Linked DNA regions of Oryzias latipes. The protein of the gene in region 1 purifies or fractionates together with the protein of each later gene. This does not show direct contact. Links are inferred from orthologs where the notes say so. Each region holds a gene or a part of one and is shown on either strand. Other genes may lie near its edges.

Region 1 (4,026 bases):
TTGGTCCTGCACAACCAAAACTTTCATGGTTTATTTTTCATGGAAACCAGGTGAATTTGTGTGTCTGTTTCTGAATAAAGTGTGTGCACTGCAATTTGAAAAAAAAAAGACTCTGTTCATTAATCTTGAAGAAAAAAAGTCATTTTCTCTTGAAGAAAGGAGCCAAACAAAATGAGAAAAAGCTACTGTAATTGAAATTCTGCAGCTGATAGAATAGATTCAGCCGGTGACACCTCATTTCATTAAAAGCTAAGGACACACGGCTCCAGACAGGAGCAAAGGGTGGTTCCTCTTTGTCTCCCTACAGAGTTGTGATGACCTTGATGTGATGGAGACACATAGACACTCACTCTCTGGCAGAAAACAGCATTAAAATAATCAATGGGTGGGAAAATGCAATTAGGGAGAGTGCACTCTCAGAGCAGGATGGAGAGCAGACTAAAAGAGAAATAAAAAGCATGCACAGGGGTGGAATGATGTTGGTAGAAAATAAGAATGTGTTTATTAATAAGCACATTATTTACAATGGTGGAGGCAGGAAATATGTGTTTTAAGCCTGTAAAATAATACTTTTTTTGTACATTATAGAGTTATTACTTCTAAGAATCATGTGTTTCACTACAGTACATTTGGACTTGTTTAAATTTACAGTCATAACTAACACACTAGGAATAAGGTGAATACATTGCAACAGCAATGTAAGACCTGTTTTGGTTATGTTATTTGCATTTTTAATTAAAAATAAAGAAAACTGTACAACTTTATCGTTTGTTTACATTTTAATATTCAAGCCAGCAGTCAGAGTAGTCAATTAGTCATCATTTCTTTTTTTACTCTTCTACCGTGAAAAAGGTCTGGCTATTGTGAAGCAGTATCATTATCAAATTTGATGACGTCAACGTTGCCGGTAACTCAGATGACTTCCAGGCTGGCTGTTCTCTTGAAATACCAACCCTCCCTCTGAAATAAGCGAAACACACGGGCTTCCGTATAGTTCCGCGGGAGGGAGGGTTTGCTTTGAGGAACAGCTTCGTTGCGACAGCGGTAAACAGAGAAGGCTCAACCAAACTTGCTGCTACATCCCGCCTTATCTCCATATAAAGTCGTTTATAGTTGGTATAAAAAAAATTAGCGACTCTCATTGGCGGAATGAAATGTCAACCAAGTAGATTTGGAAGTTTGTTTGGCTGGAAAGACTGCAGTTTAGTTGATGGGCTGGGCGGGGGGGTACTTGTTTCTGAAAGTGGTTTCTCGTGGTGCGAAGATTACGGTTTGCGTTACACTATATTTGGGAGCACTTTTCCTCGTTTATGACGCTCAATTTCTACTTTTTCTTCGTTAAAAAGTTGTCGCTGACGTCTTTGTGAGCTTGTGTTTTTTGTGGGAAAGAGACCAAACTGCTCCGGATCCAACGAAGGTGGTAAGTCGTGACTCAGCTGTTAACATATTATTACACTAAAAAAAAAAAAAAAAAAACAAAGAAAAATTCAAAATATTGCCATTGTATTAGTTAGTTTTCTCCAAGGATGTCGTGCTAAAGCGAAGCTAGAGCTACAGCCATAACTTAGCTACAGTCAAATGTAATATAATTCTGTGAATGCATCATGCCTAAAGTTAGTGACAGACAGACAGACATCGTGTGCCAGGGGTCTTTCTTACGTAAGTCTTTAAACTAAAGCCATCACACATTTCAATGTTAGTTGCTGAGTGACGTTAGTTAGTAATAATATCACGACCAGGACTCAAAAGTGATGACGTTTTTGTGTTTCTTTTTCGACTATCCGGTGGTTGGTGCCTTAAATTTAAATAATTTACTTGTATGGAGGTCGTTGTTTATTGTTTTTTTCCTTAGTTGTCCCGCCCATCATATTTATGAAGAAAAGTACTGTTGTTCATTCGTAGCACAAATAAGATCTGCAGGTATATTTAAGCCCCCAATAGTTCTGAAAACGTACATAGAATTACATATACATGTATAGTATAAAGCATAAATATGGCTGCATGACAATTTTCTACATAAATATCATAAAATAGCATGCATTGTTGTCCCTGAGCCATCTCGCAGTCCCAGGCTTTGTAAAAGGGAAACTTGGCATGGTGACTGTGCTCTGATGTTTAATAAGGAAGTACTTTCCTGGAATATCACTGACCTTATGTAAGGATTGTGCATTACCAGTAAGTAACCACACAGAAAAGAAAAAAAAACACTACAGCAGTTCTCTTTCTGACTTTCTTATTAATCATTCTGATGATTTCTCAAATAGCAGTGACCTGCATGGAGCTTTGAGAAAGGAAAGAAAACGATTAATCAGTGACTGTAGTGAATTTGTGCGATTTTACATACCTAGATTTCTCAACATGATGCAGCAATGTCTACTTCATATTTCATTAAAATACAAAGATCAAACAGAAAGTTTCAGTGTTGTTGTTGTTGTTGTTGTTTTACTTTTTAGTACAAGGCTTTTCTGAAAATTTGTGATAAAAGTACTCCTGTATTTTTTCATGTAAGGAGGTTCGTTACAAGATTTTGCTTGTATTGCGATTATATATTATTATATATAATTTGCTGCAAAATAACATTAAAATAGTGATAGTACCCTAAAATGAGTTTCCTGTGTTGTGTCAGATAAGCTCTGAATACTCCAGTTTCAGTTTTGCTGTTAGAATAAATAGCATAAAACATTTTTTGTTTGTCCAAATGATATTTATTGCAATGAAAGTTCATACCCTGTATATTATTACAGCTTTGATCTGTATTCTCTGGGCAGGAAGAGCATTATTTTGGCTATTGAGAAGGTCATATGTATGAGTTTATTTTTTGTTTTGCTTTTTTCAAATACAGTGCAAGCATCTAGTTCACATTAGCAGAATCAACAATACAGACACTGTTGTGAGAAAGCTTGTGTAACAATAGTCAAAGCATTGTGTGAGCTTTCGGACAGAAACTGGAGCCTGTAACCTAATATGGGTGGTACAGGACATGTCTTTCTGTTAAATGCCTTGAATGGGAGCTCAATTTGCAAACAAGGAAGCAGTAGCCATCTTTTATCAGCTGAGTCAGCCAGCAGGATGTGATCGATAAATTCAAAAACAACAAAAAGTCCCAGATCGGCAGGTGGTTAATGCTTAAAACACACGCTCGGATTTGAAGGGAAATCCTAATCTGACAGTCGCCTATCGCTTCAGAGGAAATGGTTTGTCTGGGTTTTGATCCATGCCCTCTGCATCTGAGAGGAAGAAGTTTGCTTTGTCGGTGTTTCATGCAAAAGTTGCCGGGGCAATTCTTTGACCAGAGATAAGCTTTTCAATGCTTTACAGCTGTTCACTCTGACCTATATTTTTTAGGGGAAGGCACAGTTTCAGAGAACAGGAAATGACTTTTGGCAACGCGAGGCCTCAGCATTGGCCTGTTGTCGTTTTCAGAGAAATCTGATGTTCAACCATTTCCCATTGGTGCAGTCTGATGAAGAACATTGAGCGCGGTTTTCTAAAGTATCATTTTCTGTTGATTTTCTGCCTGTTTTGTGTTGATAAAGCAGTTTCATCTCTGGCAGATTTGAGGCAGTGCTTGTCAGGATGGCTCAGTGGAACCAGTTACAGCAGCTGGAGACCAGGTATCTGGAGCAGCTCTACCACTTGTACAGCGACAGCTTTCCAATGGAGCTACGCCAGTTTCTTGCACCCTGGATTGAAAGTCAAGACTGGTAAGAAATGATTCAAGTCTTTGTTTAAAAAGTCTGCTTTTATCTGCTAGATAAAGCTGACCTTGATCTTTCAGGGCTTTTAGGTTTGCAGCTATGAAGTCATAGCTCATATAAACACTTTCTCTCACATTTTATGTTACTGCAATGCACTTTACCATGTTCAATTTGAACTTTTTGTGTTGTGATCACACACAAAAATTATAGTCTTTAAATATTTTCACAAAGTTGGGATTTCTTTTCAATAAACCTGGGAATTTTGTGTTGTTGGAATCTGGAAATCGATATGTTTTTGTGTTCCCCCCACTATTTTCTAAGGGCCTAT
Region 2 (4,243 bases), on another chromosome or scaffold:
CCTGCTGCTCTTTAGCTTCACTATTGGGTCAAAAAGCAAGTTTTGACATTGCTCAAACTTGCTTTTATTAACATCAAATATAAGTGATGGAGCATTCTTGTGAATTTATCCCGACGTTAGCATGATAATCGCCACAAATTTTCATGTATAATAAAATCATCAATCATATTTTTTTTTCTAAGATTTCTTTTTAGTTGCTTCTGGGCCCATAACCCGTTGATCTTTGCAGCTTTAACACCAAAAAAAACAAAAAAAACAACTCAAAAGACAAAGAAACAATCTTCGTTAGCCTTTTGGCATATTTATGAGGGATCAAAAAGTTAAACAGCTCACAAGAGTTCCTCTCACTTAAGATTTCTGTTATGACATAACATCCATCTCTGACCTCTAAGTCTGCACTTCCCAGTGGTTAAAACCCCCAACATAGTCACAGTAGGTAATTATACAAAAATCCTAATTTCAACTTTAATTTAATTCAATTCAGGAAACAGCCATAAAGTTATATTTTTGGCAAAAAACAGAAACATGTCCTTCTATATAATCCAGGTAATCTGTTTCTAGTTCTAACTAGTCTGCTCCTTGAATGCCTCACAGGAAGCACCCATCGCCACTCAGTGAATTCCTACACACTTTTAGCCACTCCCATTGACGTCAAGACCCTGTGATTAAGAGATGAGACAGAAATTATAGCAAAACAATTTACGGAGGTCTGAAAGAACTAAATCAGAATAAACTGCCACAATGGCCAAGACTGAACACGTGTTTATTTCCAGTTTAAATGATGACCCCATTATCTAGATCTAAACAAAGCTCTAAAACCACCACACATTTAGCTGTTTAGGCAGACAGATGCAGTAGGATATGTACTTAGTTTTCAACTTTTAGCCACTCTTTGTGCTTGACCAGTGTAAAAAAATAAAGTTTTCTTTCTGAACTATAAGGGTTTTTTCATCACAAATTTTTACTACTATTCACTATGTTCATATTTTTCACCAGCAGCTGAATCATAATCATTATGAGCTTTTGTAGGTAAAAATTTTTTGTTATTAAGTGGTACATCAGGGAATTAAAGTTATGGGGGGGGGGAAGTCAGAAAATATGTCTTGCTGGGAGGAAACCTTTTTCTTTTTACTTTTTCCTGTTGAACATACATTTCTTTATTACATTTCTGCTTCATGCAAAATACTGTATACTAAATGTTCAAAGTTACATGGCTGTTTTAAGATGAGAAACTTACATTACAAAAGTTATAAAATAATATGTAAAATCTAAAAATTAATATGTATTATGTCTATAAAAAATGTCAACAAATATTTTGATTAATATTTTAAACCAAAATGTCAGATCAATTGTAATAGAGTAAAGAACACAATTATTTTATCATAAATATCCTACTTTGTCAATGTATTAAAATCCAGACATCATTCAATTTAGTAAAATGTGATTACCCTTCATTGCATCAGCTTTGATAAACTGGTAGTTCAGTTTACAAATGAGTTGTTTTTATCAATAATTTCTATTCACTGAATTGTACATTTTATTATAGAATGATTGTTAATTTTGTGTAAAAAAACTACAACTTTCAAATAATAAACATGGCTGCCTAACCTTAAAAGTAACGAAATTAACTGAAACTTTAAAGTTTCTCTGTTGCACGACACTTGTACAACCTTTATATCTTACATCATTATTACTATTGTTGCTATTATTATTATGGTTGAGTGTTACTCTAAATCTAATTATTTTTTGGAAAGCAATAATAATATAATACCAAAGGCATTTGGTGAAACAAATTTTTTCTAAAATGGGTTTTTAAAAAGCAACTTTCAGCAAAACAAAAGGCTAAAACAAGAGTTTTAAAATGAATCTTTAGTCTCAAATTCAAAACGACTAAAACTTAAGCAGACAAGGAGGAACTTCAGGCCACAAGTCACACGTGAGCAGCAGGTGTTCACTGACCAGTCAATACTATTAAACCACATAAATCCACTGATCTACTCAAATGTAACTAGATGTATAAAAACTGCAAATATTAATCGAAGTATTATTAATTATTAAGATTTAGAAAATCGACCACATCTGCTGGGATCTAAAGAAGTTTCCGAACAAAAAGCACATGATGATGGAGGGAAACGCAGAGAACGGTTTTAATGACGTAAATAAACTACATTTTAAAAATTCCAGCACATTAAATTATTTCAATATAAAGATTTAGTGTAAATAGACAGGTTGACGCCGACCTTTCAATATAACACCATTTCCGACAGCTAGCTATGTTAGCATTTTTGCTAACGACACTACTAGCAGCGATGACATTCGTATGAAGTCCAACAAACACACCAAACTGGCAGTAAGCTAGAAATTTTGGACCGTAGAGAGTAGTAAACGTAAGTGAATATTAAAGTTCTAACAAAAGAAAAACATGTTTAGAAATGTTTAAAACGAAAAGCAGACGAGTAGCGGCGTTAGCAAACTGTGACGTTACCTTTTCTTTTCGGGTACAAATCCTGTGTCCATGTCAGGACGAAAGGACTTGAGTTTAGCCTCTCTATCGGTGTGAAGCTGTATCCGGGCGCGTCAGAAAATGAACCACAATCCCTCAATGTTAATCCGTTGCCTCTCAAGTGGGTTGCATAAGAGTTCGAGGCAGATATCCTTTGTTGGATAAATCAAACTCTCTTTGGCTCAAATCGGGCTATTCGGTATACTTTCCGTAGGGTTAAGGAAAATGTGCCACGCAGGAGACGCGCTTCTTGCTAAGACAATGTTGCCTCGCGAAGGATCGTTGACTCCTCCTGCTGCCTCCCGGGAACGCGCAATCACGTGTCCTTATTTTCCACCAACGGGGGCGCGCGCTGCAAGCTAAAATCACCTGCTGCTTAAAATTGCACACATTTTTGCTGCCTGCATGGCGCGTGACTTATTAAAAGTAATGCAATTTTAGGGCAAATAGGTTAAGGTATGTATGTTCCAGGGAATAATTGATACAAGATTTTTAAATTGTATCTAAACATACAAAAAATGTGTAATTGTTTACATCTTATGTTTTTTATACAAATTCTACCTTTTAAGGCCTTTTGCAATTTTTTTTAATTTACCTTATTTATGCTATTTATGTGCTTTTATAGTGGAAACATCTTTTGTTTTGAGTAGTCTGTCACTATTCCTTGTCAGACACATGGATGGATCAACACAAACAATGCAAAGTTAACATTTGCCTTACAAAAATAAATGGAAAGTTACTATAAAGTATGTTTTCTATTTGTGTTGTAATCTGCTCCTAAAATTCAAAGACACAATTCTGTAAAAATGAAAATAAAAGGTATCATTCGACAGAGAAAAAAAAACTTTTCCTTGACTCATTTAGAGCTGCTGCAGAAACAGCAAGCTTGAGAGTACAAAGCAATAGGCCTGTGGACTGGAAATGCATCAACCTGAAGATTGCTATAGGGGAATTACTTGGAGGGTCTCTGTGTGGAGTCTTTTTCATTATCTCCTCCGATTCAAGGGATTATCAGTCAAAGATGCTGGACAGCAGAGTGAGATTGGGGACTCAATAAGGTTTTGCTGGAAGCTGCCGGAAGCTCTGGATGTAATTAAAGATGGGGTGGATTCAGATATAACCTACAGACAGCTGCCAAACATGACATATATACAGTATACACAAACCGTGGTTATGTTGCAGGTTATTACTTAGGAGGAAAATCCTTAATAAGGTAACTGACTTCTTGGGTTATTTTTTATCAGACACGGTTTGTGTTTTTACACATACCTGACATAACCCAATAAGTCAGTTAATCTTATAGACACAATGAACTTTATTGACTTAATAAGGGAAGTCTTAACAGGTCAGCAGACTTTGATGTAAATTTATATGCATTTTTTGTTGAAAAATGAATGAAAGCAAAATTTTTTCTTTTGTCTTGAATCAGCTTCTAGTCCACCACAGAACACGGGCTTGAAGTGATAAACACACGTAGAGCTCAGCGACTTCCACATTCAAACTCACAGGAAGGGTCCGTCTGTGCCGTTTTAACCTCAAGAGCTTAGCGGGGCTCATTTTTTTTGCCAAATCTCCAAATGCTTCCCCACGTAGCAGACAAGAAAATACTGTCACTCATGTTTTTTTTCCTGTTTCGATTAAAAGCGATTGTAGAGACGTTCTGTGGTTTCCTGTTTATCCTCTCTTGGTCTGCAATGAGAAAATGTGCGAGTCGAGGCAAATGTGGATTACACAAAGTAA
Region 3 (2,435 bases), on another chromosome or scaffold:
TAAAGCTTAGTGGATACAGTTTCATCTTCAATGCCTTCATTAAATATCTTGCTGTCCATAGCACTAATTCCACCCGTCACTCCATCTAACATATTCCTATCTATTCCTGCCATGTCTTCCACATCTCTGACATGCTTCAGTCTCTCTTCAGTGACGGTGTTGGATTTATGATCATCGCGGTGAAAAACCACCAGGGGGCGCGCTGATATGTGTGTCAGTTTAAATATATCTGCCTAAAATGTAATAATAACCCACTGGCTTGTTCCTTCGTTGTTGCTGTTTAACATTGTTTAGTATTGAATTGTTACATTCAATAAAGTTTGAAAAAAAAAATTGAGTGAGCGCGTGCGGCGTGGTGCTCGGCAGCGACAGCCGCGCCCGCAGGCGGGAGAGGAGTGATCAAAGGTTTCCCATAGAAACCCTTGAAGTCTGAACACAGGACTAGCAGAAAAAGTGAATTATAAAGACGAGGTAAATCTACACGTTTTCGCAAAATATACTTTATTGAAAAAGGTGAAAAATATATTAACCGTTAGATATTTTAGTGGCCCGAGCGGACAAGTGAAAAATAACGTCTTGTGGTCCGCACTGCTCGAAAAACAGGACCGGGCCAGCGGACAAATGGCTATGTCGAGCCCTGACATGGTAACCCTTGTGCTGTCCTAGGCACGTTAACATTGGGAGTTGGGTCATCTAGACCCATTAGACCAGGGGTGGGCAATTCCAGGCCTCGAGGGCCGGTGTGTTTGCATGATTTCCAGACATTCTTGCCCAACTCATGGCTGATTACCTGGTTCAGGTGTGTCCAGCTAATCAGAACATGCCAGAGCAGGGTATGTTGGAAAACATGCAGGAATGCGGCCCTCTGTGCCTACCTCTACCTCTGCACCAGACAGTGCTCTGAACCTTTTTTCTTTAATGATTTGTGATCTTCACTGGTGTCCATGGATTACATGAAATCTTTCCACCTTTATCCACCTTTGTCATGGTGGGGAGAACACGTCAAAGTAAGGGTGGGGGTCATATGATAGCTCAAGAGTTAAGCTCTGTAACACCCGTTCAAGCCATCACTTCCACTGACGTCTGTGTAAAATTGCGCTTTGGGCTTCTGCGTCCACCATTTCTAGCGTCAAATGAGCAGCCATTGAACGCATGTTGAAAGTGAAGCCAGATCAATTTGTCCAATCAGGACTCAGATTTGGTAGTGACGTCTGCATTCTGTCACACAAACAGTCTCACAGTCAGTCTCAAACAGACTTTCTTGGAAAATTCTCCCTTTTGATTTGAATTTTCCTGACTTCACCGGCGGTAACGGATCTGACCTTCCAGCAGATGGCGGTAAAACTGGATAATTCGATCAGTGTAACAGTAACAGGAAGTGGAGCGTCTCACCGCTGTACGGCAGCTCGTCGCTGATGGATTCCTCCAGCAGCAGAGATGTCTCATAGGTCCTGCCGTCCACAAAGCAGATGTTACACAAACCCTGAATATCCGTCACAGGTTGCTATGGTAACACCTATTGGTTGAAGGAACACTAACCAGCAGCGAGCCACGTTCCTCACAGTGTACCCTCCTCCTCCGAGCACCAGCAGAGGAATCTTAAAACTCTTCACGAACTCCACGCACTCCCTGAAACAGGAAGCACCGTCATCCTGCTGACCACGCGGAAACGCCGCCCCCACCCTCCGTGACGCGGAGTAAAAGTCTCACCCGTGTCCCCGTATGCTAAGGTTGAAGCAGCCCAGTCTGTCGCAGCCCAGGGAATCGGCCCCACACTGCAAACAAACAGCCTCGCTCTCAAAACGACCCGCAGACAACACAATGGGACAAACGGCGGCGGCGGCTGACCTGCAGGACGATGCAGGTGGGCTGGTAGTAATCCACCACCTGCTTGATGACCGGCTGGAACAGCTGCCGGTAACCTGCAACACACACAGCCGTGACTGCACGCTCACAGCAGACGGCTCTGACTGCGCAGACCTCGGCCCTCACTCTGGTCGTCGATGCCGTCTCGCAGGGGGACGTTGAGGCAGTAGTAGCGTCCGCTCTCGGCCCCCACCTCGTACATGTCACCCGTTCCCGGGAAGAAGTAGTTCCCATACTTGTGGAAGGACACGGTCATGACTCTGTCCGTCAGGTAAAAGGCCTCCTGGACGCCGTCTCCGTGGTGAATGTCGATGTCGATGTACAGAACTCGGGGGTGGTACCTGCGACACACACACACACTTAGAAAAGGCGGGAACTGCCGGAGGAGGTGCAGAGGAGCGCCGCCTCACTTGAGAAGCTCCAGGATGCTGATGACGATGTCGTTCACGTAGCAAAATCCCGACGCCTGCAAACACAGAGAGAAAAAAAAATCTTCAACCACAAATCACTTCAACTGAACAGACAGGAAGCTGTGGAAGTTTACCGACCTCAAATTTTTTGGCGTGATG
Region 4 (4,068 bases), on another chromosome or scaffold:
CAATGTTAAAGGCAATGTGGAGCAGCAGTGCATTGAATTAAGATGCTTTTGGGCTTTTCTTTCTGCCTCCAGTGTGTTTCCTTTATGTTTATATTTTCCGTTTCAGCTTTTAGTTTCACTGCTTCTGTAACAGTGACTTGATGACGATTGTATTACACCTCTCCACCAGAACCTGAAGCACCGGACTTTGGGCTCTGAAATTCTGACACCATAAACCCTAATCAACCAAACGATCTGTTCCTCCTGTAACTTCCTCTTTTTATCATTTAAGTTTTACAGCAAAAATCACAGCTTGCAGTATTGTTGCCATAGCTTTGATTATCACCGAGGGAGAATAGAACAACAGCCTTGTCACATAGGATTGTTAATCATAACCTTTGCATGTACTAAACTATAGCACAGTTCTTTTTAGGGTATTTTAGTTTCCTTAGACTGTGGTAACAGTGTAATTTTTCATTTTTAAGTAAAACTGTGCTTAGATGTTACATGTTTACCCTTCCCTTAGTCTATGCTAGTGTCCAGTTTGCAAAATAATCTGTATGGTTTTGCACATCATTCTGCAAAGTGAGGCCTGAAATCTTTCTGGGGTTTACCTGCAAACGTTCTCCGGATTATGCGGCGCAACCCCGGCTTTTGATTTTTCTAGACAGATCCATCGATCCCTTTTCGTGATACTTGAGAGAACATTAACTTTATTTCAGGAGCAGCAGGAATTAATCTGCTAATGTATATCAATTAAAGAGGGACTCAAAAGTCCTTTTTCTTGTGGTGTCCCAAATGCAGACTGGAGTTGTTCTTTGTGGGTTTCCCTAAATAATATATAAACTGGCAAACAAATTTGCTGTAACATGAGTACCCTGCAGTCCCCCTCTTTCTTCCTCTTACCAGCTAGGTGTACAAGCTTACCCCCCCCTTTTCAGTTTTTGTTACCTTGATACACTGTAGTGATGATTACACATTGTGCTCACGATCCTTCTGTTTAAACATAGTTTTTTTTCCTTCCTTTTTTTTCATTTGGTTTTGCAGCATTCCTTGTTAGCAAACGTGGTTTCAAATCTAAAACTATTGAAGGAAAAAAATAAAATGCGGCTTTGCCTGAGAACAAGTTTTTTGGGAAAGGCTGCAGGATGGGTTATCTTCAAGAAAATAAATGGTGAAACCCTGAGTGACTGCGTGTGTGTGCTCTGTTGGTGGAGAGGCGCCTGCGTCTGAAGTTCGGTTCAAATCGGTGACGGCGCCTGCTGATTGGCCAGAGAGACAGTTTGTTCGCATGCGCAGTTTCGTGGTGCATTTGGAAACTGTCAAAAAATTGTTTATCTTCTGTTGTTTGTACTTCCAAAAGTAAGATGTACCCAAAATCAGAAATATTTTTAGTATATTTCGTATTTTAAATAATTTTTGCATAGGTTTGTGCTGCTAAAATTACGCGTGCTTCCGTGTCTCTATCCGCAGCTTGTATTTAGGAGGGATTTATTCTAAGTGTCCCTGAAGGCAGCACCGGTAGGAACAGGAAAAGGGAAGCTCAGACGGACACTTTCCTTCTGAAGTGACGGTGAGTCTGAAACAAATAATTTCCTTACGAAAACATTGTTTACGCCATCACATCTAACAGGCGAACAAGACAAAAAACATTTCCGAGCTGACACTGAAGTAACATGATAGCTTTGCTAGCAGTGCTAAGTTAAAAGGATTTGAACTTGTTTTGGTAATTGCGAGCACAAACATTCCTGATGCTAGACTAGTGTTTTTAAAATGAGCTAAAAGTAAAGCTAGGCACGACGTGTTCACGTCCATTTGAACCGCGGCGCCAACTTTGTCCCAGTTTCCACGCACGGATCATGTTGAGCAGACTGTCCGGACTGAGGTGCTGGGACGGGGTGGCAGCTGGCATCGAGGCCGCTATTGTTCCTGCTCTGGCGGCTGTAACAGGAGCAGAGACGGTCCTCCTGATCCCCACACAACACGATGATGAGAGCCAGCAGAAAAGCTCAGAGGCCAAACCTTTAGAAACAAGACATTCAATTTCATTTAGCAAATAAATAGTAGAGCTCTCACATTTCCCTTTTGAAGGATTGAGCTCCATCTAGTCAATGTTTTTTTTTTTAATTATTTCTCTTTGAGTAATGACTGATAATGGCTGACAAATTAATCGAATGGGTTATGATAAGATTTACATTTCAATACATATTTTTCTCGCTGCTCTTTTTACCTTCTCATTTGGGTCTTCATCATTTATATTTCTCAGATTGCGCTTGTTTAGATTAAAATAAATATATTCCTTTATTTTAGGAATTTCCTGGAGATTTTAACTGTCCAGCCCAAAATGAAAAACAATTCCCTGTAGTTTGTATGTTGTTTTATTGAAATTGGACTGAAGGCATTTTAGAAAGTCTAGATCAGTGGTTTAGAACCAGCAGCTCTAGAGCCTCTAGTTCAACTCATTGATAAACAGTTGAAGGACAGTACGTATCACAAGTCAAACTAACGTATGGACAGATTTTTGAGCGCCACATATTAAAAAAAAATCAATTGGAGGTCAGTAAGCAGTACTGGAATAAATAATTTACTGCTGACATGACACTACCTACGACTAAATTAGCTGCATTGAGATGATCCTTATAGTACATGGAGGCTTTTATTTTGAAAGAAAGTATTGGGAACCTCTGTTTAAAGTTAACTCAAAGAAACGGCTATTTCCTCTGTGTTTTGTGTTCTTTTCTATTTATCATAATGACAACATAAATACAAACCTGTGTCTTATTTTTCCAAAGGGTGAATGAAGTAAGACCTTGTGGCTCCTGCTTGATAGTGGTCAGTAAGAAATCAACCAGAATTATTTAAAAATTTTTGGTTGAATGAGTTTCAATTTTTACAAGTAAAGGGACTAAAAAGTCTTTATTGCATTACCCTTCTTGATGGTCTAAAATACTTTATTTTTATTTTATTTTCAGATAATCCGATGACATAAAAAGTGTCATGGTGCTTCAAAATAAAAGAATTAATCATATGTTTGCTTTGATGCTTTATTTCCGTTGTGCGATGCGCTGTTTTCTTTCCGTTCTCCTGACTTTCCAGACTTCCCTTCCAGGCCTGCAGTCCTAATCCAGGCCTCCCGTCTCTGTCATGGACAGCCTGGAGGAGGACCTGACCTGCTCGGTGTGCTACCAGTTGTTCTCCGACCCGCGGGTCCTCCCGTGCTCGCACACCTTCTGCCAACCTTGCCTGGAGAACCTGCTGCAGGTGTCCACCAACTATTCCATATGGCGCCCGCTCCGCCTACCAATCAAATGCCCCAACTGTCGCAGCGTGGTGGAGCTGCCCCCGGCGGGCGTGGACGCCCTGCCCAGCAACGTCTCCCTGCGGGCCATCATTGAAAAGGTGTGGAGGAGTTTTGTGCCTCGGTGGGACGTTTCAATTTTAACGTTCTTTTTCTGTTTTGGGGGCTATAAGTACCAGCGAGATGAGGAGCCACGCCCCCCGTCCTGCCAGGAGCACCCCAGACAGCCCCTCAACATGTACTGCATCCAGGATCGCCAGCTGATCTGCGGGCTGTGTCTGACCGTCGGGCAGCACCACGGCCACCCCATAGACGACCTGCAGGCCGCTTTCGCCAGGGAGAAGGCCACTCCCCAGCAGCTGGCCGAGCTCTCCGAGCACAGATGGGCTGAGGTGGGCGGGGCTTTCATGGCGGAGTGGTTAGATCTGCAAGATTATGGCAAAATGTATCCAAAACATTCAACATTTTGGGGAAAAAGCTTGAAATAATCCAAAATGCTGATGAATTTCTGACTGACAGGCTCCCGCGCGAACCTGTCAGTCAGAAATTCATCAGCATTTTGGATTTTTTCATAACAAAAGCTAGAATAGAGACAGTTTGAACGTGCGGTTGTGTGAATTTTAAGGTTTGTGAGCTGGGGGAGCAGCTGGAGCAGGAAAAAACCCGATGCGAGGGTTTGCTGAGACAGGACCGGGACGACGTGACCCAGTTTTTTCACTCCCTGGCGTTGGTAATGGCCAAAAAGAAAGAGGCTTACCTGGAGGTTCTGGACAAAGCTGCTGCTGAGGTGT
Region 5 (3,521 bases), on another chromosome or scaffold:
AGGTCTGGGAGTCTCACGCCGCCCCCCCCGAGGGGTTTCCGTGGAAACAATAGAATAAACAGCTGGATTGGTTCCACGTGAGAGAAGCTTGGGTTTATGTCTGCGTTAATGCAGAGTGTTTGTCCTTTTCCTGCCTCCGTTTGTTTAAAGAAAAACATTCAAATTCAACAAAAAAAACCTATAAACTTTAGAAAGTAGATGTATTTACATTTAAATGGATGGAAAGAAGGCATTCCTGCACACCTTCCCTGTGGCGGGACATTTGGTTTGCATGTTAACACCGTGTGTCGACATGGATCAGAGGATTCTTTCCTGTCGTTGACACTCGTCTGAAGAAACCAGCCAATTATCTTTCAAATAAATATATAAAAGTCTGTAAACACCAAGTTTCTGTTCACCGTTTGCATGAAACATGTCTATAATCTCTTCCTGTCTGTTCCGTAATGTCTTCATGTTCTAATGTGGCGCCGTCTTGACCTTCAGGAGCGACCTTTGCACTAAATGTTTTCTGCTGTGGTCTGCAGCCGCTCAACACGACGCGCATCAACGCAGCGGAGATCGAAAGCCGCGTCCGTGAGCTCAGCAAGCTGGCCGAGGCCACGGACAAGGTGAAGCAGGGCTTCTGGGAGGAGTTTGAGGTGAGTGGTCTGAGAAAGAGGAGCAACCTGCTTTTACTCTGAAGGCACAGGGAGCGTGCTTTTACTCTGAAATCCCACCGTAACCTCAGCGGCGGCAGCAGCACGTTTAACGGTCAGAATCATGAAGGATCTTTCTGATGTGCTTGATGAGTGTTTGTACTGGAACTCAAAAGACATTCCTCCAACGTTTAGGCTGAATCTGAATTCATCCCCTACCCCGACATTTATCCCTCCAAGACGGTTATGGAAAATCCGGACATGACTACCACTCCATGACATCATCAACGGTCGCCGGTCTCCCCCGCTGGCGTGTAGCTGCCATAATACAGTGGTTTATAACTTTAAAACGTTGTCATGGAAGCCAATACTTACATTTAGTCATGAACCTCTGTGCTTCAGAGCACACCCGCCTAAAGAAAAGCCTTTTTCCTGGCGTGCCAGCGAGACGCGGACCCCCCCCACCGGCAGAGGAATACCCAGCCGTGGGTCACTGCGGCTCCTCCTCAAAGAAACACTTTCAGACACCCCTACAGCTCCAAACGTCCCTGCAATGTCAGCAGTCTGGGGAGCCAGAGGGGAAGTCCTCATCATGTCAGAAGACTTTTATTTTGAAAGCAGATGGAGCCGGTTTCCTGTGTTTTTTTCCAGAAGTTCAGCTTCAATCACCTGAAGAAGAAGAAGTGTAGTTTTGGCTTTAGGGGCAGCAGTCTTTGTGTTATTCTAACAGATCAATAACCATGAGGAGTGATTGCTGTGCAGAAATGTCACTTCATCATTTTCTGAATTTACTTTTAAAAAAAACAAAGTATTTGGGAAAAAACTACACTCAAAAAAGGGATTCAAACCCTCTTTCATGTAACAACACAAGTAAATGCCGTTTGTTTTATTTAAATATATTTATTTTAAAAATATGTATCTATATTTAATTGACCTAACATAAAATGTATTAATAGTTTCACCTATAAACTCCAGTATTGAATAAATAAATTCATAATTAGGGGGCATGCTGTGCACATGTGCAGACTGCACCTTCTGCAAAATCATTTCTTCTGTGATTCTATTCTTTAATTGGTTGGATGCTGTTTTCCTCTTTCTCTTTATTTATTCTTCTTATAGTATCTTCCGCCGTTTTACGGCTACAATTTTTCACCTATTTTAACCATTCAACTATTAAAACGTTCAGCTCTTTCGTCTAATGCCTGCCATGACTTTTGGTCCTTCAAATCCTTTGAACTTTTGTTCGTGTTTTTCCACGTAAAAAAGGTACTGTGGCTTGGAATGGATTCAACTGGGTTTCTCCCAGTAAGATCAAAGACGACAAACCTCATTTATGTAGAAAATGATTCTGTCTTTATAGTGTTGGATGCCTGAGGCCACAGGAGAGTCGGCTCAGTGGATCAGTCTGTCTGCATGTGGAGGTTCTACCTTCCAGAATAGTGTCACACCATGTTTTTTGCTTTGTCTTCTTGATAAAATTGAGTTCGACTAACTCGATTATATTTCATTACATGGAGGAATTTTTTTGATTTGGTGCGACTCATATTTATTGGATGGAAATCCTGCCCACAATTAAATTGAGTTCATCCAATTTTTTTGAGTGTATAGACGTGTACAGATATTTGGAATAACGTCCTCAATAAACTACAGTTGTTGAAAAAGCGGCTATGATGAATAAAATAGAATAATAGAATTTGTGTTTACATGAACGTGCAGCTTCACGTTTGTGTCGGCGTTTTCTGCCAAACGCCGCTAAAGCTGTGTCCAGAAGCAGATCTGAACCTGGAGTTTCCTCTTTTCTCTGCATGCAGACGTTGCAGCAGCAGGAGTGTAAACTGCTGTACAGCCGCAAAGAGGGACAGAGGGCGGAGAACAAGAACAAGAACCGCTACAAGAACATCCTGCCCTGTGAGAGCCCCCGGCGCCGCCGCCACTCCAGGCCGCTCGACCCCGCCCTCTTCTCATCTGCCGTTTGTGTTTGCAGTCGACCACACGCGGGTGGTGCTGAACGACGGGGACCCCAACGAGCCCGGCTCGGACTACATCAACGCCAACATCATCATGGTGAGCCTCCCTCTCGCCGTCCGGCTCTGCGGGTCCGTTTGCGCTCGGGTTTGTGCAGCTTCTGGTTCTGCCGGTTTGCAGCCGGAGCTGGACGCCAAGTGCAACAGCCACAAGCTGAAGAAGAGCTACATCGCCACTCAGGGCTGCCTGCAGAACACCATCAGTGACTTCTGGAGGATGGTGTTTCAGGAGAACTCGCGGGTCATCGTCATGACAACCAAAGAGGTGGAACGAGGAAAGGTGAGGGCCGCCGACAAGTCTTCCATACATTTATCGCTTCTTTTTAGCAAAATCTTTTGGAGGCTTTCAGCTTTTTTTGACCAATGTGATCTGACCGTTTTCCTTTCTTCCCCTTTGAATTCCTTTGTGGAATATATCAATATATATAAGTATAATATCTATATAAAACTGAGCATATACAGTACATTCACAGCTTCTCATTCAGTGTGTCCAAACTTTTGGTCTGTACCGTAAATATGCTTTTTTCATTCTAAAAACTCCTTTTTGTATTAAACTTCTTTCTAATCATTGAAGGGTTTTAGATAATCTGAGTTTGTTTGACTGAATCCAAACAAATGTCTGACTCCAGGGGCCTGTTTCAGAAAGGAGGTTAAGTGTAAACTCTGAGTGCGTTAACCCTGAAATCAGGGAAACCCTGGGTTTTCCGTTTCAGAATGGGAGGTTTGTTAAACCAGAGAAAGCAGAGTAAGTCAAACCCGTTTCTGAAAGAGAGGTAACTTTTACTCGGAGTCAGTATCCATGGTTACTTATGCTGTGAACCTAACCTGGTCGGGAGCAGGTTTTATTCTCTAAACTCAAGGT

Evidence for each region.
Region 2: the proteins of stat3 (region 1) and hif1a purify together in Homo sapiens (affinity purification with western blotting; 4 studies listed by BioGRID). This does not show direct contact. The link is inferred for Oryzias latipes from reciprocal best matches to the Homo sapiens genes STAT3 and HIF1A.
Region 3: the proteins of stat3 (region 1) and hdac3 purify together in Homo sapiens (affinity purification with western blotting; 4 studies listed by BioGRID). This does not show direct contact. The link is inferred for Oryzias latipes from reciprocal best matches to the Homo sapiens genes STAT3 and HDAC3.
Region 4: the proteins of stat3 (region 1) and trim59 purify together in Homo sapiens (affinity purification with western blotting; 4 studies listed by BioGRID). This does not show direct contact. The link is inferred for Oryzias latipes from reciprocal best matches to the Homo sapiens genes STAT3 and TRIM59.
Region 5: the proteins of stat3 (region 1) and ptpn11 purify together in Homo sapiens (affinity purification with western blotting; 3 studies listed by BioGRID). This does not show direct contact. The link is inferred for Oryzias latipes from reciprocal best matches to the Homo sapiens genes STAT3 and PTPN11.

The regions. Positions count from the first base shown.
Region 1 is NC_019866.2:6,345,270-6,349,295, reverse strand, and holds the start of stat3 (signal transducer and activator of transcription 3), read left to right. Parts: upstream 1-1,221; 5' UTR 1,222-1,420; intron 1,421-3,554; 5' UTR 3,555-3,576; coding exon 3,577-3,704; intron 3,705-4,019; coding exon 4,020-4,026. UniProt on the Homo sapiens protein: Signal transducer and transcription activator that mediates cellular responses to interleukins, KITLG/SCF, LEP and other growth factors. Once activated, recruits coactivators, such as NCOA1 or MED1, to the promoter region of the target gene.
Region 2 is NC_019880.2:11,968,846-11,973,088, forward strand, and holds the start of hif1a (hypoxia-inducible factor 1-alpha), read right to left. Parts: upstream 2,802-4,243; 5' UTR 2,518-2,801; coding exon 2,486-2,517; intron 1-2,485.
Region 3 is NC_019868.2:25,320,142-25,322,576, forward strand, and holds part of hdac3 (histone deacetylase 3), read right to left. Parts: coding exon 2,415-2,435; intron 2,333-2,414; coding exon 2,277-2,332; intron 2,208-2,276; coding exon 1,993-2,207; intron 1,923-1,992; coding exon 1,849-1,922; intron 1,776-1,848; coding exon 1,711-1,775; intron 1,630-1,710; coding exon 1,540-1,629; intron 1,452-1,539; coding exon 1,393-1,451; intron 1-1,392. UniProt on the Homo sapiens protein: Histone deacetylase that catalyzes the deacetylation of lysine residues on the N-terminal part of the core histones (H2A, H2B, H3 and H4), and some other non-histone substrates.
Region 4 is NC_019871.2:13,509,642-13,513,709, reverse strand, and holds the start of trim59 (tripartite motif-containing protein 59), read left to right. Parts: upstream 1-1,268; 5' UTR 1,269-3,123; coding exon 3,124-3,378; intron 3,379-3,450; coding exon 3,451-3,669; intron 3,670-3,902; coding exon 3,903-4,068. UniProt on the Homo sapiens protein: E3 ubiquitin ligase involved in different processes such as development and immune response. Serves as a negative regulator for innate immune signaling pathways by suppressing RLR-induced activation of IRF3/7 and NF-kappa-B via interaction with adapter ECSIT.
Region 5 is NC_019870.2:1,412,420-1,415,940, reverse strand, and holds part of ptpn11 (tyrosine-protein phosphatase non-receptor type 11), read left to right. Parts: coding exon 1-2; intron 3-524; coding exon 525-638; intron 639-2,446; coding exon 2,447-2,543; intron 2,544-2,619; coding exon 2,620-2,699; intron 2,700-2,780; coding exon 2,781-2,939; intron 2,940-3,521. UniProt on the Homo sapiens protein: Acts downstream of various receptor and cytoplasmic protein tyrosine kinases to participate in the signal transduction from the cell surface to the nucleus. Positively regulates MAPK signal transduction pathway. Dephosphorylates GAB1, ARHGAP35 and EGFR.